4 linked regions of the Oreochromis niloticus genome follow. The protein of the gene in region 1 interacts with the protein of each later gene in a biochemical or structural test. Links are inferred from orthologs where the notes say so. Each region holds a gene or a part of one and is shown in the gene's direction. Other genes may lie near its edges.

Evidence for each region.
Region 2: the proteins of nxf1a (region 1) and alyref form a complex in vitro, tested with the Homo sapiens proteins (2 studies listed by BioGRID and IntAct). The link is inferred for Oreochromis niloticus from reciprocal best matches to the Homo sapiens genes NXF1 and ALYREF.
Region 3: the proteins of nxf1a (region 1) and rbm15 form a complex in vitro, tested with the Homo sapiens proteins (2 studies listed by BioGRID). The link is inferred for Oreochromis niloticus from reciprocal best matches to the Homo sapiens genes NXF1 and RBM15.
Region 4: the proteins of nxf1a (region 1) and nup153 form a complex in vitro, tested with the Homo sapiens proteins (2 studies listed by BioGRID and IntAct). The link is inferred for Oreochromis niloticus from reciprocal best matches to the Homo sapiens genes NXF1 and NUP153.

The regions. Positions count from the first base shown.
Region 1 is NC_031966.2:20,671,783-20,678,892, reverse strand, and holds the start of nxf1a (nuclear RNA export factor 1), read left to right. Parts: upstream 1-4,094; 5' UTR 4,095-4,165; coding exon 4,166-4,232; intron 4,233-5,798; exon of another isoform or gene 5,799-5,813; coding exon of another isoform or gene 5,814-5,832; intron 5,833-6,588; exon of another isoform or gene 6,589-6,885; coding exon of another isoform or gene 6,886-6,913; intron 6,914-6,973; coding exon 6,974-7,033; intron 7,034-7,110. Other genes in the region: si:ch73-22a13.3 (inositol-trisphosphate 3-kinase A), read left to right, coding at 1-189.
Region 2 is NC_031969.2:13,796,469-13,804,468, forward strand, and holds the start of alyref (THO complex subunit 4), read left to right. Parts: upstream 1-4,982; 5' UTR 4,983-5,125; coding exon 5,126-5,371; intron 5,372-6,783; coding exon 6,784-6,942; intron 6,943-7,034; coding exon 7,035-7,182; intron 7,183-7,278; coding exon 7,279-7,342; intron 7,343-7,427; coding exon 7,428-7,632; intron 7,633-7,727; coding exon 7,728-7,742; 3' UTR 7,743-8,000. Other genes in the region: mcrip1 (mapk-regulated corepressor-interacting protein 1), read left to right, coding at 353-457, 554-618. UniProt on the Homo sapiens protein: Functions as an mRNA export adapter; component of the transcription/export (TREX) complex which is thought to couple mRNA transcription, processing and nuclear export, and specifically associates with spliced mRNA and not with unspliced pre-mRNA.
Region 3 is NC_031984.2:21,081,497-21,088,827, reverse strand, and holds the start of rbm15 (RNA-binding protein 15), read left to right. Parts: upstream 1-4,314; 5' UTR 4,315-4,493; coding exon 4,494-7,061; 3' UTR 7,062-7,331. Other genes in the region: alx3 (homeobox protein aristaless-like 3), read left to right, coding at 199-473, 621-746, 897-1,247. UniProt on the Homo sapiens protein: RNA-binding protein that acts as a key regulator of N6-methyladenosine (m6A) methylation of RNAs, thereby regulating different processes, such as hematopoietic cell homeostasis, alternative splicing of mRNAs and X chromosome inactivation mediated by Xist RNA.
Region 4 is NC_031985.2:21,180,163-21,188,081, forward strand, and holds the start of nup153 (nuclear pore complex protein Nup153), read left to right. Parts: upstream 1-4,903; 5' UTR 4,904-4,932; coding exon 4,933-5,061; intron 5,062-7,919. Other genes in the region: ptdss1b (phosphatidylserine synthase 1), read left to right, coding at 1-59, 1,192-1,270, 1,360-1,457. UniProt on the Homo sapiens protein: Component of the nuclear pore complex (NPC), a complex required for the trafficking across the nuclear envelope. Functions as a scaffolding element in the nuclear phase of the NPC essential for normal nucleocytoplasmic transport of proteins and mRNAs.

The DNA.
Region 1 (7,110 bases):
GACTTCGGAAAGACGACGCCTCTGCCTGACTCGCGGGAGCTCCGACACAACGTCCCGTGGTCTGAAGGTAGCAGGGAGGATGGCTACCTCATCGGTCTGTCCTCTCTCGTCACATCTTTAGCCCAGGCCATCAGCGTGGCCTCATGGCAGCAGGAGGAGAGCTGTGAGGAGGAGCAAATAAGCCCGTGAATGTGCATTTTTGACAGTCGTTACACAATTGTAAGTGGATGAGATGGACGAATCGACTGGTGTTACACTTGGAATGGTTTCATTCGCTGGAAGAGACTTGATTTGTTAATGGAGATTGTGTCTTCAGGGGCTAAGGAAGAGGAACAAGGGACTTCAGTGTACCAAAAATCCATAGATATGTGGTTGTGCATCCGGTATGTACATACTCTGACAGTTAAAGCTACTGTGTTACAAAGAACTTTTTGTTTTCTCATTCGCAAAAGACGGACAATCCAAGGAACATCTGATCTGATCTACAGATCAGGGGCGTACCTGAGGCATGGGTTGGGAATGACTCTGCTGGAGATCTGTTTACAAATGCTTCTGTCTTGTTTGTTTTAATTTGGTTGGTCTGCATAAACTAAAACAGCTCGCCTTTGTTGCAACATAAGCTCATTTAAGGTATCTCATTATGCGCACATAGGCTGAACAGCCTCGTGCTCTATCTTTTTTTAAGACAGTATGTGTAAAAAACATGGGTTAAGTACAGATTAAGCTATACTGATGAAGAAAACACAGCCACAATGTTTGTATTGTATTATTCTACTGTTTGTATTTAGATTACTTACACATGATGCAGCTGAAATGTTTTTCACAGTTTTATAGGCTATAAATAACCTCACATATATAAAAATTAAAATAAGAATGCTTCTTTTTGTTGAGTTTTTATATATCCGTGTCACTATTATCATCATTTTACATAAAATGCAGGGCGATCCTGGCTCAAGAGTTGGGAGTTCGCCTTGTAATCGGAAGGTTGCTGGTTCGAGCCCTGGATTGGACAGTCTCGGTTGTTGTGTCCTTGGGCAAGACACTTCACCCGTGGCCTGCTGGTGGTGGTCAGAGGGCCCGGTGGCGCCAGTGTCCGGCAGCCTCGCCTCTGTCAGTGCGCCCTAGGGCAGCTGTGGCTACAATGTAGCTTGCCATCACCAGTGTGTGAATGGGTGGATGACTGGTTGTGTAAAGCGCTTTGGGGTCCTTAGGGACTAGTAAAGCGCTATACAAATACAGGCCAATGAGTTGCAGACATCCAAGTCCAAATAGAAAGACAATGATATGCAAAAAAGTAAATAAATACATAAAATGCTAAATAGCAGTGAGAGTTTAACCGCTGAAATCTCAGGGCAGTCAAATCCATTCGATCATTGCAAAAAGCAGGTTGAATAAAATATTTCAGTGAGATGGATTAGTGCAGCCAAAAAGCATATATATGTATTACACTGCATGAGGCAGTGGTGAAGTGTTCAACTGAAGTGACGGATGAGTTTAAGGTGGGGGAGGGATTGGCTCGGAGTCCCTTCTTGTTTGATGTGGTGATGGGCAGGTGAACTGATGAGGTCAGGCAGGAGTCCACAGAGACTCCTGCCTGACCTCTTACACATTATGATCTGAAGTGAGAGAAGGAGGCAGGCCGAAGAGAGCTTGGAGAGGTGAAAACAGGTGTAAAAGTGAAGCTGCAAGGAACAGAGGCGGTGAAGGTGGATGTTTAAATATCTCGGGTCAACCATCCAAAGCAACAGATGGGGCACAAGAGAGGAGAGAGTCCAGGCAGAGTGGAGTGGGTGGAGATGAGTGTCAGGGCTGATTTGTGACAGAAAGAGAACAGTGAGAGTGAAAAGGAAGGTTTACAAGATGGGAGTGAGACACTGGCGCTGACAAAAATACAGGAGGTGCAGCTGGAGGTGGCAGAGCTGAAGGGTGGACAGGATTAGAAATGAGAACATCAGAGAGACAAAGTTATAGAGGCAGGGCTGACATGATTTGGACATGTGCAGAGGAGGGTTAGCAGAAAAAAATTGGAGGAAAATATTAATGTAGGAGGGTGGTGTGAAAGATGAGGACGCAAAGGTTGAGTGAGATGCAGCAATCCCTAAAGGGAGCAGCCGAAAGAAGAAGACTGAATGATATGATTTGTGCAAATCTGAAGTATTGTTAAAATAATGCTGAGTGTTTAATTTAAAGTAAGTCAAATAATAAATAACTGAAAAGTAAGCAGTAAAACAATTACAATTCTTAACCCTGTGAGGTCTAACACATCATCGGTGATCCGAACCCTCGGCTATCACAATATGTTTTTGTTTCTCACTGATACTGTCCGTCAGAGGATAACAAAGTAATCAGACTATCTTTACTTTTTAAATTCCTGTTTTTCTTTTCTCCAAAAGCAAAGTGTTAAGACTCAGAGCAAGGGTTAGGGTTTCAACAGATTTATGCACTTTAATATCTATATCAGCTAAATTCAAGTACATTTTTGTGTTCGAAAGTTTAGAAAAATAGGAATATCTAGCCCAAGAGACAATATTACACTAACATTAAGACATCATAATTAGCATTTTAGTGGTTGTAGACTGTCAAGATGAAAATTTATAGCTTTAGTAATTAAAGGCTCCATCTCATCTATTGAAAACACATTTGGCTTATTAAAATGTGACAATTCTAAAAGAGAGACCACAAATTAAGATGCAGAAGTTTGCAATAATGTCTTGGAGCTGTTATCACTGACTATTGTTAAAAAGGACAATGACTAAATTTGGATTTTTTTTTTTTAGTTAACAACAGGAAATACAGCAGAAAAATTAATTTTTTCCCCTTTTGTTATTGTTTAACAACCTAATAATAATTTGTGTATGATTGACAAATAGATGCCTGAATTAAATTAAGTTAATTACTTTGTTAATATTAAAACTATTTAAGCCAAATATCTATTTTTAAAAATGCCATAAAAAAGTACAAAATCTTACATATGCCTAAATATATTTTTTGTATGCTAATATTGTGGCAGTTTAAGCGTTCAGGCTGCAGTAGTCAGACGCTTCGTTTCGCCAGGTGGCGCCGTGTTGTTGGAGGATCAGGAGAAAAGTGAGCGGGAGAGACCGACTGACAGGAGCTAAAACGACAGGTTTTCTGTACTTTTATGGAAAAAAGCAATAAGGTGGTAAAAAAAAAAAAAAATTAGTGGTAAATATTGAAACTTGGCCTGGCAGGATACGCAGCCAACGTGAACGGTAGCTGCTAGCTGCAAGCTAGCCTTAGCTTCTGCTCACAAAGTTGCCCAAAAAGAAAAAACTTCAAATTTCGCTCAAGAAGGCTGACAAAGAATCTGGTGCTGTTGTGAAAAGGAGTTTTTCAAGGAGAAAGTAAGTTTTACTGGGAGATTAAGTGGTCTTGAGAGGACTAAGTGGTCATGTTTCAGAGGAGCTACCCCAACCTGGCCGTGGTGACACATGTGGTGAATGATGGTAAGTCTGACTCCCATTATTCTCTCGGCTTCGTTTAGCCTGGGTTTACATTACCGTCTAATCGCTTACACCTGCCTATGCCTCGTGTTTTAAACAGACATTGTGAAAGATATTGCCTGAACGTTGAATATTTAAAAATAAATAAGCGTGCTACCGAGGAGGAAGCTGTAGCTATTGTTTACCTGGTCAGAGAATTTAGTTGGTGTGATGCTAACGGAAGCCTTCAGGCTAATATTTTTAATGCATATATTTTTTATATTAATTAAATATATATTCAGTTGCAGTTTGGTTACTTAGGCAAAAGAACCACCTGGATGGTCACGATTTGTGATAAAACACAGATTGTACAGCTGAGCCTATCCTAAAGTTCCTTTGAGTGAAATAGTGTCAAATTATACTCCTTTTTTAATCCTGATAGGCTATATTAAAGTGCACTGTTTGTACAAAAATAAATAAAAAGTAAGCAACTCCGGACAATTCCAAAAATTAAAATATTAAGAGCTTGTTATGACATTCTGTGACATTTCTGGTAGTATTAAGAAATCGTGCTGGTTCACTGTCAGGGCTTATTGGGACCTCATTATTGTTATTGCTTCCAGCTGCACCTTCCTGCCTTGAAAGTGCTCTGTCACAGGCATTTCTCACAGCAGATCATTTGCCCTGTCGCTGTAGATATTAATAGATAATGAGTACCGATAATGGCTGCATTCCACTTATGGGAGGTCCTGGTTTTATGCTTGGTGTTCAGTGGCACAAACAATAGAAGTGAGTCATTAATATCAACTGGGTTTTTTTTTTTCTTACTTTTTACAAGTCAGTCTTTTGTGCACATGTCACGGGAACTTTCCAGTTATTTAGAGGATTACTGACAGCTGGTCAAAACAACATACTGAGATATGATTTGTGCAGCGCTGAAATTAGAATAAAAACTTCTGTAGGTTTAGGAAATGACACATCTAAATGAATGTGAGTCTGTTTTTATCAAAGGTCTTGGTGTTACATGATGTTGAAAGTATTATTTTCAAATTTAACGAATATAGTTTTTAGAAGAGATAGATTAAGAAGTCTTAGAAATCAATAGAAGATTTTAGTTATAAGATCATTTGAGTCTTATTTTACCTTGTATTGTAATATACATACATCACGAGTTAATATACGTTTAGTTTCGAGTTCATCATGAAGACAAAAGTAACCATCTCTTTAGTAAATCTGCCCTTCATGAAGGCCATGTTTTAGTGGATGTTTGTGGTGCCTGCTGTCTGTTGGAAAAATATCCAAAATGCCTGTCAGTAAGATAAGATCCAGTTTATCTTTAAAAATTATGTTAAACACTGTTAGACCAGCTAAAAGTTAGAAGCAACAGAAATTATAATAATTAATAAAATACTGTAACAATAATTACAGTAGTAGGCCTACTGAAAAGTAATATGTTATGACAAAAATATTATAATTAGACAAAAAATAAGTTGAAAAAATGAGCAAAATAAGTATATCATACAAAAATAATTATTCCAAATTCAAAAAAGTAAAATAAATAGAATTAATAACTATTTAATAAATGTAGGAAGATGAGATGAGATAGCCTTTATTTGTCCGTTGCAAGTCTTTTGCCCACAACCGAGATGACAGACAGCAAATGTATAGAGCTGTGTAAAAGTCTTGAGCCACCCCTAATTTATTTAGCCTTCATTTTGATGTTTTTTTAAATATATATTTTGGTCTTAAACAATATTTCACTAGGACTTCTAAAAGCCTCATTAAAATTTTCTTTCAACATTGGCTACTTTCTCACTCATTTTCAGTCCAATCCTTGTACCTGACCATTTTCAGATTTTTTTGTGTGTTGAGCCATTTAACACTGACCAATGATTCATTCAAGTATAAAAACAAACCAAAACTCAAGGGATGAGTCAGTGTTTCCTCTGCTCATAACAGACAACTTTGCAAAGAATCCATCATTTTGTTATCAGCAGCCTGTCCAAAAACACATAATACAGAAAAGGCTGAGGTGTGCCAAATTACAAAAGAACTGGAGTGGAAATCAGTGGCAACATGGCTTATTGAGTGATGAATCCAAATATGAAATGTTTGGTTCAAATAATCATCCACTTGTACAGAGGTGGTCAGGAGTGAGATCCAGCATATAAAAAAACACAGTGGAACACTATCAATCATGGACTGGCCTCCCCAGAGTGCTTAGCGCGGAATTATTGAAGCAGTGATCATCTTGACAGAGAACAGAACAAAAGACAGCCAACATCAAACAAAGAGCTTTGAATATTATTCAAGAAGGCTGAAGAACTATTCCCGAGGACCACTTAAAGAAATTACTATTGGGATCGGGCTATGTTTAAGAATAAGTGCGGTAAGACCAAATGCTGACTTCCTATTTTTCCTAGGAAAATATAAAGATCAGGGCTGCTTCACGACTTTTGCATAGTATTATAAGACGACATTAAAGTGGCTCAATGACACAGTACAGGTGGTAAATAATATGTTAACATGATGGGAGGCATGTAGTGTTAATGTGTGAGATATGGAAGAATTCCAGTAGCTTTCCTTATCCAGTACATCAAAAATGCACCTACAGGAAAAAAAAACAAACATACACACAGCTTCTCTGAACAGTGTTAACTCAGGGGTAATCTCAGGTGAGGTTTGTTTCGCTACAATTGCACCTGCTCATAATAAACAAGAAACAGTGTGTATAAGTGTGGGCGTTAAGTTAAATTTGGTACTTTTCACTAACGTTTAGCTTGCTAAATAAGATAACCCCATTTTATATACCCTTTGATACCGCTGTAGATTTGTTTTAAATACATTTGCATACTGGCGCAGCTTTGAAAAAAACAACAACAGATCGGCCCGTTGGCTAACTTAAAAGACAGCTGTCTGTGTTTTATCCCCCATCTTTGTGGAAATACAGAAGTTGGTGAGCCTTTTAAAGAGGTTCGTGTGTTTATGATTGGCTGTAATATGATTTAAATGGTCGGATATCCTACATCAAGCTTCGCGCTATAATTTTTGCTCATATACGCAAAACTAGGTCGAAGCTAACGCTAGCAAAGCCTGATTTGTACATTGCATGTTTTTTTTGTTTTTTACTCGACCATAATCCCACCGTAGTTTGTTTCAGCTGTCCGCTCCCTTTTCTTGCCCCGGAAGAGAACCCAGTTGTGTTTCCGGCTTCGTCTTCTCGTTTGGGCTCGGCAGGGGAAGCTAAGCTAAGCTGCTAGATACAAGGCGACAGTCACGTCGCGGTCACCTTTGTTTCCGCTGGTCCACCCGGGATGTTGGAGTTTCTCCGACAGCCTTGGCTTTGAGTGCCGTGAAACAAGGAAAATAACCACCACTAGTAGCATTGTTGTTTTTTGTTTCACTCTGGGCTGTGATTGTTATCCAACACTATTGGAGAAATATGGCGGACGGCGGTCATTACTACAATGGTAAGAAGCCACGTTCATTGCAGCTTTAAACTTACTGCACTTTTAACGATCTTTCCACAGATCTTAGAGACTTTGTCGTGAGGAGAGAGGTCAGAAGAACCGATTTCATGGTTCACGGAGGTAAAAATATGTCGAAGGCATCTCGGAGGTGTCATTTTGTGACCTTTTGGACACATGTTTACCCAGTACCACGCCAT
Region 2 (8,000 bases), on another chromosome or scaffold:
TGAGAAAAGGCTTGTATAGAATAGAACAGGAAAGCCCTTTATTATCATTGTTCATGTACATCAAAATTATGGGTGCTCCACGCCAACCGTGCAGGAGTAAAATAAAATAGTAGGACAGCAGGAATGTAGCTCATGCTTTGTTAGTGACCACTGACCACAATTTAAATTCAGTGATTACTTCCAAAACATTGTTAAAAGCACTTGGTTTAAGATAGCAAAAATTCATTTTCCACGCTCTGACACTGAAGCACTTTAAAAGGTCTGGAAATAACGCTTTGCAAGTTAGAAAATGCCAGCACATGGCTCAGGTGCATCGTTAAGTAAAACTTCTTTGTTTTTGCTTATTTCGCAGCTTGGCAGTGCGTGCTCAGAGACATAAGATCAACGCAAAATAGTGACCGGAATGACCGTGGACCACAGGAGTATGTCGAGAAGAACCCAAATCCTAATCTACATTGTAAGTTCCAGCAAATGTTTATTTTTCCATCACACTAAAAGATGAAATCGGTAAAGGACGTGCTGATTAACTACTCGTTTCCTTTTGTTCTTGCAGCTTTCACACCAGTGGACCTGAGTGACCTCAAAAAACGCAACACACAAGACTCCAAGAAGTCCTAGTCTTTCTCTTAATTATCCCATTGCTTTTTTTTTTTCTTTCTCCCATACATTATCCTCGAGAACTTTTCCTCCGTCAGCCCTCTTGTCAGCCAGAAAGTTATCGTTGTTGGTCAGTCTAATACAGAATGCAAATCTAATTTCTAAACTCTGGACCATAGCAAAGCTTCTCTTCCTTCACCCTCGAAGACTGACTAAAAAGAAAAAGTTGGATTTCTTCCCTCTTCTCTCAGTTCCTGTTTTTTCCAGTCGCATTCGATATGTGGACGGGACCGATGCAAAGATTCATCCAAAATTTGCCGACTTTGTACCTCAGCTTTTTTTTTGTCTCCACAGGACGCAAAAGACTTCAGTCTTAAACGCGACGCTACTACTACTACTAATATGACATGGGAGGAAAATATGAAAGGGCTGACTTCTTATTTGTAGTTTTATTTTGTTTATCATTAATTAAGCAAGTGTAGAAGTAATTGAACATTCACACACACACACTTTATGGGCGAGTTTTCAAAGCCAAAACAGAGTGTAAACAAAGCCAACATTTTTATTATACATTTTCTTGCCCTTGGTCGGACTTTATTAAGTAGAGGGCCTCCCCAAGTATTGATAAATCCCCTCCCATTCCCCTCTTCTTTCCCAAAGCCTTGAAACAAAATGTTGAATAAAAAGACTTTTACATTACTTGTAGTTGTACTTATTCTACATAAATACATCACTGTATTTTTATCACATTAGAATTCTAGTTTTGTATTGGCCATGAGTTGTAATTAGTTTTTGATCCAGTTTATTTTCAGCTAGTTTCCAGAGTTGAAGTTCAAAAATGTTCGGTTAGCTTTTGTTTTCACCAGTATCGGTATTGTTTTAATTGTTTTTCTTTTTAATTATTATAGTATTTTGTTATTTGTCAGATGCAATATTTAAAAAGTCAGCAATTTAGATGTATCCCTTTGCAAGGCACTTGACGCACAGTCAACATGTAGGGCGGAGCAGATGATACTCCAAGGGTAAAGACAACCAGGCTTGACCTTGTTGGGTGATCTTACTATCAAATCATACATATATGACCATTTTAGAGGACTGATATTTCTCAGAACCTCCTTTTTAAGGCAGACTTAAACAATATATACACTATAATGACAAATGTATTCACTCAACCTTCCAGATCACTGGAATTCAGGTGTTCCAATCACTTCCATGGCCACAGGTATATAAAGTCAAGCACCAAGGCTTACAGACTGCTTCTACAAACGTTTGTGAAAGAATGAGTTACTCTAAGGAGCTGAGTGGTACAGTGATGGGATGCAACCTGTGCAACAAATCCACTCGTGAAATTTTGCCACTACTAAATAGTCAACTTTTAGTGGTATTATAAAAAAGTGGAGACGACTGGGAACAACAGCAACTCAGCCACAAAGTGGTAGCACATGTAAAATTACAGAGTGGGGTTAGCAGATGCTGAGGAACATAACGCACAGAAGTCAACAACTACAGACCTCATTCAGATTAGAAGGACAGTGTACAGAGAGCTACATGGAATGGGTTTCCATGGAAACAGCTGCATCCAGACCTTACATCACCAAGTGCAGAGTGTTGGATTCAGTCGTGCAAAGCTCGCCACCACTGGACTCTAGAGCAGTCGAGACGTGTTCTCTGGGGTGATGAACCACGCTTTACTGTCTGGAAATCCGATAGGCAAGAATGGGTTTGGAAGTTGCCAGGACACCAATACTTTTCTGACTGTATTTTGCCAGATGTAAAGTTTGGTAGAGGGGGAATTAAGGTGTGTTGCTGATTTTTAGTAGCTGGGTTCGGCCCCTTAGTTCCAGTGAAAAAATTGTTGTTTCAGCATACCAAGACATTTTGGGCAACAGTTTGGTGGATGGCCCCTTCCTGTTTCAACATGACCACAAAGCAAGATCTATAAAGACATGGATGAGCAAGAACTTGACTAGCCTGCACAGAGTCCTGCCCTCAACCCAACAGAATATCTTTGACATGAATTAGATACTGCAAGACAAGACTTCTCATCCAACATTAGTGTCTGACCTGACAATTTGCGCTTGGGAAGAATGGTCCAAAACTCCCATAAACACCCCTAAATTGTGTGGAAAGTCTTCCCAGAAGAGTTGAAGTGTGGGCCAACATCATATTAAACCCTCTGAATTAAAATTGGGCTGTCACTCAAGTTCACATGTGTGTTAAGACAGACAAGGATTATAGTGTATATGTAGAATAGTACTGGGGTGGCCGTAGCTCAGGAGGTGGATCAGAAGATTGGTGGCTTGATACATCTATCGAAGTGCAAACGTGTGTCAGTGTTTGATAGAAAGCACGTAGGAGTTAGATAAAGCATAGAAATAAATCCTTGTATGAATGGGTGAATGAGAGATGTTGTGCTCAAGTAGGCTCAATTAGCGTAGAAAAGCACTATATAAGCAGGGGTGCATGTGCTGTCAAAATAAAAGACACGCACCAGATAAGAAGTTGCAACGTGCGTTTGCGTACATATGATTTTCTGGAGGAGGACAGACATTTATTTAGAACTCTTAAAGATGTCGAAGAAGCAAGCTCCTTTAAGCAATTACTTTGGCGTTCCTCCACCTCCAAAGAAATGTCAGAAGGAGTCCAAACCGCAAAAGAAGCGCGTATTCTTGGAAAAGTGGTTGCAGGAGGTGAGCTGGCTTCAAACAAATGATGAACGCACAGAGATGTGGTGCAGAATATGCCGTGAAAATCCCACTCTAGCGGACAAAAACAGTGCCTTTTATATGTACGCAAACGCGCGTTTCAACTTCTTATCTGGTGCGCGTCCTTTATTTTGACAGCGAATGCGCACCTTATGTGCACCCCTGAATATAAGAACCAGTCCATTATCATTTATATTACACCTATAGGAGCTTTTTTAACAAATCTCATTATATACTGATCCATTTCGCAGCTTCCACATTCTGGGAAGGCTTTCTACTAAATACCGGAGTGTGTCTGTGGAAAGGTTTCCCCATTCATCAAGAAGCTGTTTGTTTAATTTAGTGGAGTAGATAATTCTATCTTGCTGATTAGTTTAACTTAGCTGAGTGCTTCAAATCTCCAAACATCAAATGGTGATTCTAAACTGGCTGTAGTTAAAAAGGTGTAAATGGTTATTTGTGTTTCCACGTTACCCTGTGCATGGTGTACCCCACCCCTTGCCCACTTTCAGCTCTGCTCGACCTTGAACTGGATATGTGGTTAAAAATATCGATGGATAGGTGATAGATAACTGTGTCTGAACTGACAGAGTGTGCCAGCAAGGGATAACTAAGCCAAGGGTAAAAGGGTCTTAAATAATTTATTGAATTGGACTGGATGAATGCAGGCATTGTTAAAATATCCAAACCTAGTTGTCAGTGCGGTAATCTCAACCTGCACAGCTCTGTGTAGCTGCAGCTGTTATCACACTATCAACGCCTGAAAATTGGATACTATATGACTCAATGCATTTTCTATTTCTAAATGTGGAAAAATTATGAAATTGATCCAGGGGGTAAAATAGCTGTTTACTAAGCTTTAAAAAAAGCAATGTTGAAAATGGTGCTTTTATTCAAAGCACCGTGTTAAAGATTGTCATCCATACAGTTGGATTTTATGTTTATCCATTCCAAAACCAGTTTTGATGTATGTTTGGGATCATCTTCCTGTTGAAACACCAAATGTGTCCAGGTTTCAACCACTTAGCCACTGACTTTAGGTGAAGTGAGGTGATTTGGAAGTGGTCCTACTTCTTCGTTATTCCAAACACTTTGTGCAATGTAACTGTCAGCAGGCAGTGTCTGGCTTAGGTGCAGTTTGGACAATTGTGGGGTGTATGTCTATAGTTTAGCCTGTGCTTTACAATCATTCCACACTGGAAAACGTTAGTTCACAGAAATCATTAAAAGTCAAAAAAATTACCATGACGATCGGTTATGACCACAAATATGTACATATTTGTTCAAACTGACTTACAGTGTTACATTTTCTTTCTTTTTTGTTTTCTTTTATTTCAGTTATTTTATACACACATAGCTGTAGTAGTTTGTGTAATGAAGACTTTCAACTACAACTCAAACTAATGAAATTTACAGTGAAACTGTAAATTTATTTTATTTAATATTTATTTAATATTTAGATTATTTAAATAATTGTAGATTCATTGTATTGTAGATTCATTGTTTCGGACGATACTGTTGATTGCTTCATTGTTTCGGACGATACTGTTGATTGCTTACCGATACTCATCTATGGAGCAAAACAATAGCAATTCCCTGTTGGTAACTTTGTACCAACATCTGATTGGACAGAAAGATGTTACTACGCATTGACGTTTGTCTACGTATGATACGCAACGAAACTGTTTTTCAGCAACCGTCTGCTCATTGTGTTTTGTCGTCGGGGAGAGAGGAAAGGGCAGGGAGCGGGACCATTGAAGTCTAGGGCTGTACTTTTTTTTTTAACTATTTCATTAACAGTTTAGCATTATTGGGGCAGCATAATGACCGATAAAATGGATATGTCTCTAGACGACATTATCAAGCAGAACAGGCAGCAGAGAGGTGGAGGCCGGGGCGGCAGAGGTCGAGGCCGCGGAGGCGCAGGTGGCGGCGGCCGTGGAGGAGGAGGCCCCGGGCGTCTCGGAGTCAGCGGTGGAGGATTTGGAGGCCGAGGCGGCGGATCCGGCCCGATGAGGAACCGACAGATCCCGAAACGCGCTAGAGGCAGACCAACGCCTTACAGCAGGGTATGAGAAAGTTAAAGGAAAAGCCTTCGACAAAGCTGAAAATGCCTGGTTAACGTCGTTCTGTAGCTAATCCCCTAGCCAGCTTGCTAGTCAAGCGAATAAAATGATTGCTAACCGCCGAGTTTTCCCTTCGGAGGAGAGCTCTATAATTGGCGGCTATGCATTAATGGAAGTTGTATGCATATTGTGTCCCTTCTCCCACAATCCATATGTGTTGCATCCTTTTTCAAGAGGAGCCCTTTTTGGAGAGAGCAGTTGTGTTAGCCGTGTTGGCTAACTAGCTAAAGTTGGATCGTAAAGGCCGAAGCGGCGCCATTTTGAATCAAGCACCTTAATTTAGAGCTAGTCGTCCAAGGTCCATATCGGTGCTTTTCCACCTCTTGAGTGAAATTGATGGTGAAAGGAAATCGCATCAACGAGAAATTCTACCCGCACGCTACTATCGTGGGAGCAAAATTCTTCTTTTTTTTTTTTTTTTTGGTCAAGTCCCAGCGCAGCGACCAGACGGCCTTTTGTTCGGGAGTGGCTGACGCTCTTCTCAGCAAGGCCCATTTTGGTGGCTATTCAACCGGTGTGGCTGTTGCTTTTTGGATGGATCAGTGGACTTTAAACCTCCTCTCTGATAATTTTCATGTTAAGGCAAATCATCACTCCTTAAGTGTGAATGAATATCTAAACAAAGCCCCAGTCAAAATGGCGTGTCTCAAAATGGACGCTCAGATAATCCACGCTCATTGATGGGGGGATAGCTGGGCCCCCTTTCGGTTTGTTTACATCCCCATCCCCACTCTCGTGTTATGGACATTTCCCCCTTCATGAAAGCCCTTTTCGTGGCTTGGTAAAGAACTCTTGGGCGGGCCTGGAAAACATGGTGCAACGCTGGAGGCAACGCTGCTTCAGATGGCGACCCCCTGTGTCCCTGAGGATCATATCTGGAGGGCCTCTGGTGGAGGTGCAGCTGGCAAGAAAACAGTGGGCAATTTTTGTAGCTAGCATGGGAGGTTGTTTGGGTTTTAATGTAGAGGTTATGGGTGGGAGTGGGATATAATAAAATCAGTTGGCTCTATTTGAACTTGGTCATTGAAAAGACATGTACTTTAAAAAAAAAAAAAATGTATCCAAAATGTATGCATGTACAGGTTGTATACAAGACATCCCCTTGCCTTTTAATTTTTTTTATATATATATTAAGTTGTCTTGTGTATGTCCTTATCTGTCCGAAGTGATTCACTTGCTTGTAGTGATGGGGTGGGCAGGGAATAGTGGGGATCCTCTTGGGGGACCTGAGCACCCTGACCATGTTGGAAGTGGAGCCCCTGCTTGCCCCAACACCCAGCCGTGTGGACTCTGTGAATGACAGAGGGCAAGGGGATCCTGAAGTCAGCAGGTGCGTTCTCTTTCGTCTGTTGCAGCCTAAACAGCTTCCAGATAAGTGGCAGCACGACATGTTCGACAACGGCTTCAGCGGCTTCAATGGTGCTGCTGGAGGTGGAGGAGGAGCTGGCGTGGAAACTGGAGGGAAGCTCCTCGTGTCCAATCTCGACTTTGGGGTCTCAGATGCAGATATTCAGGTATTTTAAGTTGTTTGTGATTCTTGGCCTGGGTTGGTGTGTTTAACAGTGTGGATCAAGAGGACCAATTGTTTTGGACGTGTGTTTGTTAGGAACTTTTTGCTGAGTTTGGAACTCTGAAAAAGGCTGCAGTTCATTACGACCGATCAGGAAGAAGCTTGGGAACTGCAGATGTCCACTTTGAAAGGAGGGCAGATGCGCTCAAGGCCATGAAGCAATACAATGGCATCCCACTGGATGGTAAGTCTTACGTTCTTTGACCTGCCAGTGCAAACAGTTTCTTAAAGTTTGCTGCTTCTGTAAAGATTTTGAGGTTCATGGTGTTTGTGTTTTTAGGGCGCCCTATGAACATTCAGCTCGTCACATCACAGATCGACACACAGAGACGGCCAATGCAGGGGTAGGTTGATATTTCTTTTTTGTTTGGGAGGGGGGGGCAGCAAATGTATTGATGACTTGATGTGTAAAGGCTCCTTTATCTTCAGTCTGAACAGAGGCGGCGGCGGAGGAGGCATGATGAACAGAAGTCGTGGTGGTGGCGGCTTTGGAGGCATGCAGAGAGGCCGTGGAGGGCGTGGTGCAGGTGGCCCTAGAGGACGTGGACGAGGCGGCCGTGGTGGTGGTAGTAGTAGCAAGCAGCAGCTGTCAGCAGAGGAGCTCGATGCCCAGTTAGATGCCTACAATGCCAGGGTATGTTTACCTGAAACTTGTAAATATGATTTCTTCTGAGTAACAGATTGTCCATTTTCTCAGATGTCTAATTAACTCTTGGTTTGTTTTCTCAGATGGACACCAGCTAAGAACGTAAAAACGAGCTCCTGAGGGTCGTCGTCCCTTCCTGTCTGCACAGAAGGGTGGCTGTTACAAATGTGCAGAATATTTTACACTTGGTTGTCTTCTAATGTGATTGAAAATATTGCCCCACCTCTTGTTTTAAATGCTCCAAAGTGTTTTTTACCAGTTTTGTTTGTGATAATTTTTTTTTTTTTTTTTTTTTTGTTTGTTTGTTTGTTTGTTTTCTTTTCTGATGGAAAAAATGGTTTCGACTGTAGGTTCTG
Region 3 (7,331 bases), on another chromosome or scaffold:
TAAAATCGAAATCAAATTTAGCATTCCATAAAAATAAATTTAAGCTGTATCTTCAGGCAATGATAGTCTCAAATGATTAAATTACAGTGTATATTGACGCAGATTGACTTAGAAAAAACTGTTAGAATTTGTATACGATTGTATATTTATTTTGGTGGATGTGTAACTTTTCCTTTGCATTTTCCTGCCTTGCTTCAGTTCGGGACAAAGGCACTCCGAAAACCATGGGCTATCCTGGGATTGGCACAGACTGTTGTGGCAAGCTCAAAGAGCCAGGCAGTGGTTTACAAGGAGATTCTATCGCTGACTCCATTGACTTATCTGGCAAAAACAAGAAGCGACGTAATCGCACGACCTTCAGCACATTTCAGCTTGAGGAGCTGGAGAAAGTGTTTCAAAAGACACACTACCCCGACGTGTACGCCCGGGAGCAGCTGGCGCTGCGGACGGAGCTCACTGAGGCTCGGGTTCAGGTATGCCAGGGCAACTCCATCACAGTTGACACCTTTTTTATTTTCTAAATGTAATCAGAAGAAAGTATAAAGCCCAAACAAAAAATTGTCTTCTGGAAATTTACTGTTATACTTTTTTGTGTTATAATATATTTTATTTTTTAAAAGGTTTGGTTCCAAAATCGCAGAGCCAAATGGAGGAAACGAGAACGCTATGGGAAGATCCAGGAGGTTCGCAACCACTTTGCTGCTACATATGACATTTCTCTTCTTCCTCGCCATGACGCATACCAGGTAGGCCAATGTAGCTCTCACATGGCATGCATGTTGTAGTAGTAAACTTAACATTATAGAACTTGCTGAGAAATTGCATTTTTTTCACGTTACAGGACTGAACAATATTAAAACTTTTGCTGATATTGTTCTAAATTTCTCCGTATCCAGATGCAGGGCAATCTGTGGCCGGGGGCAGCTTCAGGAGGAGGCGGTGGTTCAGGTGCAGGCTGTGTCCTAGGGGCTGACTCTATCCCCTCATCCTGCATGAGTCCGTACCCTCACCCCCACAGTAATCTGCAGGGCTTCATGGGCATGCCCACATCCTCCAGCCACCCGCACCATCACCATCACCCGCCTCACCATCCAGGCATCAACAGTCTCTATTCTCTCCACGGCTTCCCAGGAGGCCTCGGGTCACCTTCCATCGAGGGCCCCGAGACCGAATACAAGCCAACAGGCCTGGTGGCACTGAGGATGAAAGCCAAAGAACCAGGCAGCATCCTCTCCTGGCCAACATGACCATAATAACGCCAGCTCCCCATTATGCACTGACTGAGCCGCAGCATATTACAGTCGTCACCCATACACGATCCCAGATGTACATTTGTGGATTTGACTCGAATATTTCCTCCAAACATTTATATAAATCAACTTGGAGACGTGTTGCTATTCAGAAATGTTGGAACAGGCATTTTGCAAACAATAAGGGCAACTTAAGAATCTTGCACGAAACCCAACCTATTAATACGAACGTTCTTGTTTAGAGTTCTTATTTTGCATCACAGTGCTGAGACCAAAGAGGAAAATTATTTAAGCATGTAAAAAATGTATCATATTAATCCCTTTTAATGTCTGTTGTGTTGTGCGTGAGTAATAAAGGGCTCCATGTAAATTTAACTGTCTTATTCAGCAGCAAACTATTTTGGAGAAGAGGGATTTTCTTTTTCTTTGTTTTTTCTTTTTTCAAAATGAACAAAAACCATCTCAGTTATAATTATTTTAGCCTTGACTCTTTTGCAAAACGATAGCCACGTTTGCAATGCAAATATAACTGGGAATGTGGTTATGAGGTAAAAATACTTTACAGGCTGTGGATCCCATAAAAAAAAAGGTTTCTGCTGTGCGGAAAGTGTACAGAGTGAATGTGCAGCCCGCTAGGCTTCACTTCAACTTACACTCCATGCATCAGGGGAAAGTGGCAGGTTCATAATGGAAAAACTAACCTGGTGACCACACTTCACTACTGATAATAAAGTAGATAACCACAGATGATTATGTATTTGTCATGCATGTCCTACAATGTGAGGTGTTTAATCGATTACTGTGGCTCAGAGCATATTTTGTATGCTGAGGCCAGGTCAAGGTCAAGTTTCTTCTGCATCCATGTGTACAAGCAGAATGTAACAGAGATATACTCACATTATCCTGAATGCCGTGCTAATAATTGTTTTCAGAAAAATCTCCCCAAACAATTTATGTTATTGTCAAGGAAACACTGAATTGCACGGTACATCCCATATGGTGTGAATTACTAAATGCCAGTGCATTCATGTCAAACTGGCAAACATTTCAATCTGTGAGACTGAGAACTGAATGTGAATTGAGAAAAAGAGTTTCACTGCGGGACAAAGCCCCGCCAAGCTGAACTCACTCCCCGGGAGTGTGCATGGCTTTCAGGGGAATATATTGGCTCCCCTTTGTCTTTGCCTGCTTCGCCTTGACGGCGATGCAGGGGCGGATTAGCTGCCTTTCCCTAAGTCTGTGCCGGAGTTTCCTGAGAGCCACTAACATGTGGTTCCAATAGAAGAATGCAGAAAGCCATCAGAAACACTTTCCACACCCACAGCTTCAAATTCCAGCCAGTCCCTGGGAGACGGCAGCTCTCACTGCAGTCACATAGTCCCCCTGATTAATTCCCAGATTAAGAGGAGAAGATAAGAAGACCTGTCAGAAGGGATAAGGGATTGAGGAGATTGCCGTGTTTAGGAAAGCTGGAGAAATAGCAGATGGCGGATCAGAGCTTAATTTTGATATTTATTTTTACAGTGTGAGCAGGTTAATCAAATCCACTCGTAAACAAAAGAGGAAGCTCGGTGGTTTACTGATTTTGATATTTTAATTCCTTAAAACAGTCAGAACAGCTGTAATAGATTAACTCAGGGGCTCATGATCATAGTTTGGCTTATTCTACTTCAAAAATGTCTCAGAGTGAACGTACAGTGATGTCATTTCACTATAGGGGGCCATAGGTTTTCATCAAGCTCTCATTAAAGTTATCATGCTGTTGCATTGGCTTTGATCTGTGTTGAATCAATGTATCAGGATCCAAAGAGCCTCTATGATTTTTTCAGAAAGAAATGAAAAATGATGAGTCATTGCTGCACAATGCTAGAGCTAATCATCACTCAGTATGTCAGGGTTGCTAGCTGTAGACTGTCACAAGAGCCTGGAAGCTAGTACACCCTCGGCCTCATTACTGGACTAAAAAATATGATTTAAGGCTCATTAAAATCGGTAAAGCTGACTGCTGGCCACTGCTCTGAGCTTTGATCTCAACAAGATTTATCTTGGCTTCAAGGTGCAGCTATTGAGACACAACAGATAGGCTACTTTTATTTAACATATCCCACTAAGGTAAACAAAGTAGTGCACTGTGTGATTGGCTCAGTTTCAGCAGTTTGTCAAGGCTGCTTCCAAAATTTTATCACTAGGAAAAATGTTTTGGCAGTTCATCCGAGAAAATCAAATATTCAGAATATAAAATGCTTGTGCAGAAGTGCAAACAGCAGTGCTCGATTTGAGCCAAAGCACGACTTGTAAAAAATGGCGAACTACTGTGACACATTAAAGAGCAAACATTAGTAGGTTGTAGTGTGATGCTTTGAACTTATATCTTTAAAAGGCTGTAATAGCTACTGCTACATGTGGCCTACACTGTAGCAGACATTAGTCAATATCAGCAGCTTGATTTGTTCATATAGTTGCCAGGAAAGGCCCTTTCCACTCAATGCCAAGGGGAGTGGGCTGCTGCACTTTCTGTTCAATACTGCCATCTTGTGGTATTGGCTCTAATTGAAGATAAGAGGATTATCTGTTCGCCTCCACACCGCAATTAAGTCATCTCACCTCCCGGGAAAAACGAAATGAATAATATTCTTAAGAAACCTGCCTACGGTATTATACTACAGTTAACAGTGGATGGACAGCAGAAACTGGCGTTGTGATATAAGGAATAAGATTTATCTTAAGCCTTAAGGTGCAGCCATTTAGACCTAACAAATAGGCCACTTTTATTTAACTTTTATTTAAATAAGTAGAATAGCATACAGCTCAACAGAATAAAAAATAATATGACAATGCAAGTGTCTTAATAAGGTAAAAGCTTTTCTGAAATTTCAAAGGAATGCAAAATACAAATAAAGTAATATTTACGTTTATATTTAAACAAACACAAACAATTTCGATAACTTATTTATTTATTTGTTATTTTATACTCAATTTAATTTATTAAGAAAATATAAAATTATAGTGCCTGCCGCTGGGTGATTGACATGCGCTTTAAAGTTTCCCACCCACTTTCTAACCAATCAGAATGAAGGGGTGGGTCTTCGAGCTAATCTTTACAAAATGGCGACTGTTGTTGTTTTGCCGCAGGGTCAGTGAATAAACCCGTTTTTCACTTCAGTAAATTTCTGCATTAAGTTGCAGAAAATATCGCACCAAGGAAGAGCAAGTGTCCCGACGGTTGACACCGAGTGGGCCGAAATGAAAGGTAAAGAGCGGTCGCCGATTAAAAAACGCTCCCGGGCCCTGGACGATATTCGAGACAGGGGAGGATGCCATCCGACCAGCAAGAAAATGGGGGCTCTGTCCGTTTCCAGTGGGAGTAATAATGGAAACAGTTCGTCCAAAAGCGACGGCGGCTCGACAAGACGGAGTCTCCTCGGGGAAAAAAGAGACCGAGATTTCGACGGTCACAGCCGGACTGGAAATAATCACAGTTGTCAGTCTGCAGCTGCCGCCGCCGCTGCAGCGAGCTCCGTGGGCAAAAACCACAACCTGAGCCTGACGCTGGATTTAGCCTCACCGAGGACCACCTCCCGGGGTGAGCCGCGGCTGCAGCCGCCCAGCACAGAGAGTGAGTACAAAACGCTCAAAATCAGCGACCTCGGCACTCAGCTTAGCGACGAGGACATCGAGGACGGACTCTTTCACGAATTTAAAAAATTTGGGGATGTGAGCGTCAAGATAAGTCGTAGCAACGACGAGCGGATAGCCTTCGTAAATTTTAGGAAGCCGGAGGACGCCAGAGCGGCTAAGCACGCCAGGGGACGGCTGGTGCTGTACGACCGGCCGCTGAAAATCGAGGCGGTCTACATCAACCGGAGGCGAAGTCGGTCTCCGGTGGAGAGAGACTTGTACGGTGCAGCTCAAAGCCACAGACATTTGCAGCGACCCCTCTCGCCCACCGGGCTGGGATATAGAGACTACCGGCTGCAGCAGCTAGCCTTGGGACGGCTTCCTCCACCCCCACCACCACCTTTGCCGAGAGAACTGGAGCGGGATAGGGAGTTCGCTCTGTTTGAAGCCAGAGCACGCCCAGCCTTCATTGCAGAACGGGCAGCTTTCCGGGAAGAGGATTTTATTTCCCCAGAAGACGACCAAAGAGCTAATAGGACGTTGTTTTTAGGCAATCTGGATATAACTGTTGCAGAAGCAGACCTCAGGAGGGCTTTTGACAGGTTTGGAGTCATAACAGAAGTGGACATTAAGAGACCAACACGGGGGCAAACCAGCACGTATGGATTTCTGAAATTTGAGAATCTTGACATGGCTCATCGTGCTAAGCTTAGCATGTCTGGTAAAATAGTGGGCCGCAATCCCATAAAGATAGGCTATGGGAAAGCAACACCGACCACGCGCCTGTGGGTGGGTGGTCTTGGACCGTGGGTTCCCTTAGCTGCCTTGGCAAGAGAATTTGATCGCTTTGGCACTATAAGGACCATTGACTACAGAAAAGGGGACACTTGGGCCTATATTCAGTATGAAAGTTTAGATGCTGCACAAGCAGCATGCACACACATGAGAGGCTTCCCACTGGGAGGCCCAGAGAGAAGACTTAGAGTGGACTTTGCAGACACTGAGCATCGTTACCAGCAGCAGTTCCTGCAGCCTCTCCCAATACCACCATTTGACATGGTGGCTGAGTCATTTGTCCACCGTGCCACACCTGAGCCACTGAGGGTCAGGGAACGAACTCCACCGCCGCTTCACTTCAGGGAGAGAGAGCTGTTTCCTGGAACTGACTGGCCCAATCCTGCTATTCGTGAGCGGGTACGTGCCTCACCTTTTGAGCCTCTGGAGCATTTGGACCGTGAGAGGCGAACTCGTGAGCCCTGGTCTTTGGAAAGAGAGCTGCAGGGGCGAGAGCCTGCGCGAAAGCGGCGCATATTGGAGGACGGACGCCACATAGACCACTCCCCTGATAGCACTGAGAGGACAGTAAGACGCAGACGTGCTTCTCCAGATGGCAGTCCTGGAGGCAGCAGCAGAGATGGAGGGCGCTTTAGTGACTCAGAACGCCCCCTGCGGGGCGAGAGAGCCTCTCCTGCGAGAGAACGCCACAACAGCCTTGAAAGAGGTGTGTCAGACCGAAGGCCCAAAAGCCAGAGTCTGTCTGATAAGGGACTTTCAAGCAACATTATTTCAGCAGTTGGAGAGCGCAAGCGCAAGGCAATCGATGGTGGCAAAGGACCAGCCAAGAGAGAACGTTCTGAGAGCAGCTCAAAGGGAGGCCAGCCATCCAAGCCGGATGGCAACAAACTCAGTTTGGCGTGGCATGGTATGCTATTGTTGAAGAACAGCAACTTTCCAGCCAACATGCACCTGCTGGAGGGAGACCACAACGTCGCCAGCGACCTGCTTGTCGACAGCGCTACAGGAAGGCGAGTGAGCGAGCTAAAGATCACGCAGCGACTCCGGCTGGACCAGCCCAAGCTCGACGAGGTGTCTCGGCGCATCAAGGTGGCAGGTCCGGGCGGCTACGCAATCCTGTTGGCGGTCCCCGGCACCACAGAGGATACATCTTCATCCGACCCTGCAGCTTCAACTCAGCGGCCGCTTCGCAACCTGGTGTCCTACCTCAACCAAAAACAAGCAGCTGGAGTCATCAGCCTGCCTGTGGGAGGAAGCAGAGATAAAGACAACACAGGGGTTCTTCATGCTTTCCCTCCCTGTGATTTCTCCCAGCAGTTCCTGGATTCCTCTGCCAAAGCTCTGGCAAAAAGTGAAGAGGACTATCTAGTCATGATTGTGGTCCGCGGAGCATCTTAAAGAAACAAACTACACTAAATTCAAATGGAATAAAAAAAAAAAAAAAAAATCTGCTGTATGTCAGTAACTATTGCATGCTGTGTGTTCTGCATCATGGAGTACACTAGTATGGTTATTGAGTGTTATGTTACCATGTAAGCCACTTAAAGGACAAACAGTGCCCCCCTGCAAAGCTAAAAGTATGTGTGTTTCTGAAGTTACTGTTCAGAGGTGTCAGTCACAATTATAAATCTGCAGTCATTTAGCCAAAATTCTGTAAAGCGGTTAAAG
Region 4 (7,919 bases), on another chromosome or scaffold:
CACTCATCACGCTCCTGTGCTTATATGGGATGGTGTGGTATGAGCAAAAGAAAGTGAAGGTAAGACAGTGCCCTGGGCTGCTTGCTTACTTAAATGTTTCTAGAGGTTTTGGTTTGCTTGTGATAGTAGAAACTTCCATCTGTGGAATAGAACAGAGGGATGTACTACAAAGAAAGCTTAAGAGGTAAAACCTAAAATCCCAGTCACACACAGCAGGTGTCACAGTGGTGGTTATCAACCTTTCTGTTAAGCCGGGCTTTCTGCTTCAAGGTTATGTGCACATTTACATAAAAAGGGCCGTTTAATGCTTCACATGACGCTTCTTCTGCACAAATTGATCTCTTTGAGTGCCAGCTACTCCAGTCAGAGATGTTTTCTGATGATGATGATGATGATGATGATGATGATGATGATGATTAAACAGTATATATAAATGACAAAAACATATAACTGGAAAATGCAACGGTGCAGCAGATAACACCAAGTTAAATAGCCATAAAATTTGACTCTCATCAATACATCAAGTTTATTTTAATACTGAGTGAATCTCAGTGCTGCTGTGTAAGCATCAGAACCCAATATAAAAACATTTATATTCATGTTTTTTCCTACATCACCAACTGAACACATGCAAATCCCAGTAAAAATGCACTGTTTCGACTTTTTAGCTGCACATTCGGTGGTGTTAGTAAGATACGGCTTAACAAGCTGCACATATTAGATGTATTTACCCAGCAAAGGATCTTTATCACATGGAAAACATGATGTTTAAAAAAAAGAAGAAAAAAGAATCACTGAAAAGCACTTCCTGATGATCTTAAATTAAAACCCTGCTCCTGACCATGCTATGTGTGCAGCATGAGTTACCATGGTGATTTAGCCAAAACAGAGTCACTTTCTTGACACAGAAAACTTTGACGTTAACCTCGACATAGCTCACTGTGCCATTAATCTCACTTCACGGTGCACCCCTCTGGCGTTAGCATCAATGTCAACAGTTAACTGTTTCTAAGTGCCCTGTGTGTAAGCATGGCACAGCACCACCATTAGAATATGACGGTGAGCACGGATGCAGAAAACCAGGACTCTGAAACCGTCTGTACATTTTGAACCAAGCCACAGCAGTGTTTTGAGTGAGCGAGTTGTACAGACTGTTTGTGTTTGTGACTCTGATTTTCTTTCTGTTGGCAGAGAAATTCTCTGCAAAGGCACAACTGCAATGACAGGAGTGTTATTGACTCATGTGGTTTCATCACAGATGGTGCTGCAGGTCAGTCTCATAACATGCAGATTGATGACAATATTTCACTAAACTCCATCTCAAATGTTTATTATATCTCATGTCTCTTTGCTCCACAGCTCAGGAATATTCCCCAAGAACTGTGCAGACTGCAAAACGGAGGAGAGCTGCAGGCAGGAACAGATTTGTGAATGGTCAAGGAGGAAAGAGACAATAAACAGCAACTGATACTGAATCTTTGTGACCTCTGTGGAGGGGGATGAGGAAATGATGCGTTTACCAAGAGGAATACAGTATGCACTTTGTGGATGGATTTAATTAATATTGTAAGTTGCATCATTGGTGCAATTAATCGCCAAAAAATAGATTCCAGAAATCATATCGGTGTCACTTGATAAACCGTTTGAACTTCTAAAGGTGTGGGAGGCCAGAACACGACAGCAAAGTTTGATTGAGTTTCTTTTCTATTAAATGTCAAAGATGTTTCTAAACAAACTTAAATAATGAGGTAATATGCGCTGGAGTTTGAGAGAAAATGGTGCCTTATTTGGACTGTAACAGCAGTCTGTGTCATTCCACAACCAATATTGTCTTTTTAACACTGGAATAATGTTGTCAAGTGAGGGGTGTACCAACCAGTCCACACCCACCATCCTGTACAACACACATGTAGACTATTTGCACTAAACCTTTTTGACTGGTGTGTTTTTTATTTACTGACCTTAATAGCTTTAAGAGAAACTAAAGATGTCGAATACTGTTGGGTTTAAGAGTTGTAGATGGTTTGATTCTGTGATGATTTGATGATGATGATTAATGTTGTCGGTTTAATATTTTTATGGTTATATGATGCTGGTGCATTTACTGTCTGTAAGTTTCTTCAATCAAAACAGCATCAGCAGGAAATAAAGTCTTTGTCTATTTTTTAAACGAGTGTAAGAATTACTTAACCAGCTGTTGCTTTATTAAAGTTTTTCAGATGTGTGACTTTGACGATGTCTGTGGAGTGATGCTGTGTATGAATGTGTGGCGTACCCAACACAGAACTGTGACATTCAATGTAATTGCACTGCGGTGACATTCAGTGGCTCAATATTTGTGTAAAAAGATCTTTTTTAATGCAATTTTTATGATCCAGATTAATTAAATGTGACATTAATAATACAACATGTGAATACTCTAAATAAGCTGTTAAATGTGTAGAATAATCTTTCATTTAGTGTTAGTTTTAATTTCAGCACTAACTTTCTTCACTGATTATTTTAATGTATTGAGTTTAAAGTGCAGACAACACAGCAAACTGTGCATGACGTGTTACTACCCATGTATGATTTGAATGGCTGAACTGTTTTTGTACACATAATTAAAACAAAGATTAAATAAATATAGTCTTTTTTTCATGGTTTTTCATTTCATTGTTCTCTGTGGCCTCATATGTCTGAAGCAACAAAAAAACAACAACAAGAGGACAACAAACATTAATTTTACAATTCAATTCAATTCAATTCAATCTTTATTGGCAGACTTCATGTCCATAAAAACAAGACAGAAACACACACACATATATATCTATATGTAGATAAATAAGTATATAAAACATTAGTAAAAAATATAAAGCATTTGTAAAAATTTGTAAAAATATAAAACCATAATATACATAAAACACAATTACTTAAAATAAATCAATAAATACACAAACACTTTAACCAGTGCTTTCTCAGACTGGATGAGTAACGGGAACCACTCAGTGTCGGATCTGTAAGTGCTAAAATTATACTGTTACTCGAACCATCCAGTCGTTCTCTAAAATTGTACATTAACTTTCTTAAAAGTGCTTTAAAAGTCCAAACACCCACAGCTACAAACATCTTTGTCTATTACAGTTCTTTTGTTGACATTTTAAAGGAACAATTTCCCCAGGTACTTGAAATATCTGTGGCTTTCTACAACACATTTTGTGAGTGCAAAGCTATATTCAACTGCCATTTTATTACTTGCATGTTTCTAGTATCGGGTTGCCTTCAGAGCTGCTTTAACCTTTTGTTGCATAGATTCTTCCTGCTCTAAGCTGACATGAGCAGCACCTGGTGTGCTTTTCTGCTTTAAAACTTGGTGTGTTGCATTCAGAGATGTTCTTCTACATGCATGTTGCCTTTTAAGTGACTCATTGAACTCTTGGCATTATCCTCTGACCTCTGACATCATGAACCAGAGAACGGCCACTTAGAAGAAAATCTCCCAGTAGATCAGCGGCTTCTGAAATATTCATACTTTTTTGGCATCAATAACCATGTCATGTTCAAGGTCACTTAGATCACCTTTCTTCTCTGATGCCCATTTTTTCTTGACATTGTCTTCATATTTACATGCCTCAGGGTACTGAGTTTCTGCCATGTGTTTGGCTGATTAAATATTTGAAGCAGCTGAACAGGTGTACCTAATATAACTGTCAATGAGTGTAAAAAGCAAAGGATTGGTTGTATATCTGATTTGCTCTTAATGTGTAGAAAGGTATAATTTATACACCACATTATACAAGTTACACAGGAATGCTTAGTTCACCTTTCAAGTCACCTTTTCATTTAGTTCTGCCAGCTACCACAGTGAAATCCAACATATCGTTGTTATGAAGAATCAAAATGGGTCAAATTGTTTGTGAGATGAAATATGGTGATGTAGCAGCTACCATTTATCTGAATTACTATTGAATTGTTCTTTAATGTATTTTTTTTATTACTTAAGTTAACTGTTGATGTTTCATCAGGAAGGGTGTCTGTCATAAAATATTTGCCAAATAAAACCACAGGGAGAGGCAAGGCTGAGATGGTTTGGGCATGTAGAGGAGGGATACTGGATACCAAGGATGGTGAATATGGAGCTGCCAGGAAGCAGGAAAAGAGGAAGCTCACAGAGAAGATTCATGGATGTAATGAAGATGTGTTGTTGATACATTCCTGCATACCTTGGTATGTGATTCTGAAAAGGACCACAGTACAGTTATTACTTTTAATGCATATAAGCCTATATTTTTACAATTTTGCACTATTATTTAGTTGGGATTATTACTTTTATTTGAGTAAAAGGTCTAAAAATAATAATTTCCATTTTGTTAAACACTTCTTCAAACCAAAATATTCTTGAAACCTTTGTGTTGAATTAAACTCTTTGTTTACTGTATTTATTTATGATCAAACATTCATAAGGTGAGCTCCCCGCTACTATGAAATTTTACTTCCACCATTTGCCAGGCAGATCTGAGTCAAAATCTAAAGCCCTTATCTCAAAATGTCTCAAAATCTCAGAGACATGTAACTTGAAATTATTTGGAATTCTTAAGTCAATATTTGGAATTACAGACAACAGAAAATATTTTTCTTTTTTCAGTGGCAGAAAGAAGCTTCCATATCTCTCCCCCATGCCACATCATTTATAAAAACTACTGAAAATGCCTAGACAAAAGGAAAAAAATTATTTTTTCCCCTTACAAATATATGTTATTGAGATTTAACCGTATACTTGTGATTTTTGTAAATGTAAATGTACAAATGTCCTTATAATTACTCTTATTACCTTTATAATAATAATTATCCTCATGATGCCATACAGTACGCTTGACCTGTCGAGTTTACCTCCTTTGTTAGGTTATGCAACTACATTTCCCATAGTTCCTTTGAGAGTGGCCACTGTGTTGGATGACAGCTATCCGGCGCCGAAACACCGAAAGACACTCAGACGAAAGAGCCATGGCGGCCACGGGTGGAGGGAAAATTAGAAGCAGGAGATATCATATTGCCTCTAAACCTTACGCCAAGAGTAAACAGGTAAACAGAATGAACAATTTCAGTTTAAAGCCCGTTTCGAGGACCGTACAGTGACTGTAATGCTTGTATTCTTGAGGTCTTGTTATTGTTTAGTTGGAGACATTTTGTGGCCTGCAGTTAGCGCTCGTGGCCTCCACGCGCTGCTAGCATGCACAGGAAATGCTAACGGCTAAAGGCTAGCTAACTAGCTCATAGGTTAGCAAAAGCAGGCGGGCTTGACAGTCAAATCGCAACACGGTGTGTCGTTTACATTAGGTAACGAGTGTTGATTAAGTGCTCATTCACATGCGACAAGTTGAGATGGCCAACATTTGCTGAAGTCGTGAGTTTTTAACTGTTAACAAAGTTCGTGGAAAGCGAGGAAGTAGGATTCTAGCCATTAGCCGATGGAGCTAGTGCTAGTGGACGCTAGCATCGGCGAACGGCGCATTGTTGTCCTCGGTTCTTAAGTTTTGAGGCGTCATACTGTTGCAGGTAGACGTGGCAAGATGGTTTGGTTCTAAGTAACAACTGTCTCGGGGTACACATAACTGTTTTACATTTTAAGGTTGTGTTGGGGGGCTGGGTGGAAACCTTTTAAGTGCTAGGCACCGTTAGCCAAATCAAAGCCAGCTGAACTGCGCAGAGAGCATTGGCTGCTTGGAAACCCACATGGTTACCTTAGTGGGTATATTTGCCGCCTGGACAGCGGTACTGTTGGCTTTAAAACCAACCTGTGATCTTAATGGTGGCTAAGACTTGTCCTGATAGTCGAAAATCTTGTGTACTTTTTTTGTTATCAGTTAAAGAAAAAACTCCAGTGAACTACAAGTGTATTCTCTATCTGGAGTGCAAATCAACTGGAAATCTTTCTTTCTTTTCTTTTGAGAAATATACAATCGACTTTCCTTGACGATCGTCGTTAATAGTCGTAGTCGCACAAACAATCATCAGCACCAGCATTCATAAATGTTGTCACATTTATGAATTTCAAGTAAGACAGGATTTTGGATAGATATTATTTATGCTTGCCATCAAGATATATTGATTATACAAACAAAATACTACACATTTTTTAATTCGACTCTTCTGGGTTTCATGGTTTTTGTTTTCCTCCCATGTTTGATGCTCTGGATCAGGTAATATCACAAATCAAGTATAATCAACATGTTTCTATCGAGCATTATAATTGATTGCATTCGTACGACTATGTTTGACTCTTTACAAGTTGTGGCAGTGATTTATTAAGCTGCTAACTGACCAGAATCCAATTCAGGGTCACAAGGGTAGAGAGCTGGAGCCCATCCCAACTCTCATAGAACGACAGGTAGGGTACTCCCTGGGCAGGTCGCCAAACTGTTGCAGGACTAATGCATATACACAGAAAAACATTCACACTTCTACCTAAAAGCACCAGTTAACCGACAACAGAAAAAGAAGACTCATGTAATTTTCCAAGCTCTGCTGTTGTCGTTCCAGTGTCATGTTACAGCTCTTAACAGCATATATCACATAATCAGCAACCCAGATTTTGCATAATTCAGCATTGATCCCATGGCAATGTACCCTTTTGACTTCGCACATAGTGTTAAAATAGAAATGGCATTCATGGTAACAATGAAGACAAGTACATGAAACTGTAGCATGAAACACAAAAAGAAGTTGAATAGTTTTTCACCTCTGTAACATGTGAGTCAAGGTTAAGTCTTTTTAAATTGTGCATAGATTCAATAGCACATGATGCAGAAGTGTTTGAACTTTCACATTTAAGTAAAGGCTCACTCACCCACAAACAACAATTACCCAAATCTTATTTACAGTTTAAAAGATAGGTTTAATTTTTCATCATCAGTTTTGTTTACACAACACTTTGTTGAGAAAGCAGAAGGAGCTTGGTAAGACATGCAGTGTTTGTGCTGTTTCTGTCTTGATTCACTTCTAGGATTGCAGTTCTTCAAAACAGTCGGGCTGGCTTCACTTTTCTTTTTTTAAAAATAAGAGCACCAATTTAATTAGATATTATTCACTTAAAAAATAAACACAAAAGCTTCTCAAGGTTGATGTGCAGTTCATACAACACTCTTGGGTCTTAGCTATGCTACTGTGTCTACAGTAGAAATTCTGATGGATAGCTTTTATGATTTTTTTTTTTTTTTTAAAAGCAACACTATGGTGGTGGTTATACTTATTTTTCACATTTTATACACATGTAAATACACTAGTGTATTTGCACACAGGGTAAAGTACAGGGTGCCCCACAGGTGTGTGGCATAGATAAGGAGGAAGGAAGGAGCATATATAGCTTATCAAGTGTTGAAAGTCACTGCGGGGTATATGGTGTCTCCAAGAGATGCACTTGCAAGCTGGTGCTTTTCCTCAGAGCTTCCTTTTCTAACTTCTCTTATCACAAACAGCATTGGTGTCTTAATATGAAGACACCCAAGTACAACAATAACACTGGACTTTAAATTAAATAAATATTTTCAATAAATGTCTTCTTGCATCAAAAGACCACCAATTTAGAATCCACTTAGTCACTTATCACATCACCTGTTCAGAAAGCTTAAATCTGAAGAACACTAATCTTTTCACCTGCTGTTTCAGGTTACACACTGAAAATGAGGCTGCTAGGCTGAGTTTTTTTTTGTTTTTGTTTTAAAGAACAAACCAAAAGTAAAATGGTCTGTATGCTGAAAGTCTGTTTGCCACATAGCTTCAACTTTGGCAGGTTCTTGTTAAACTTAGCTACAGGCTGAGAGATTGGTCAGTCCTCTCTCTGGAACTGTTTTCACATTTGGTGTCTGGTCAGGATGCTTTCTGAAGTTTCCTTTTCTCACATTTTGCAGTCAGTATGAAACAGTTCATATCAGACATATTAA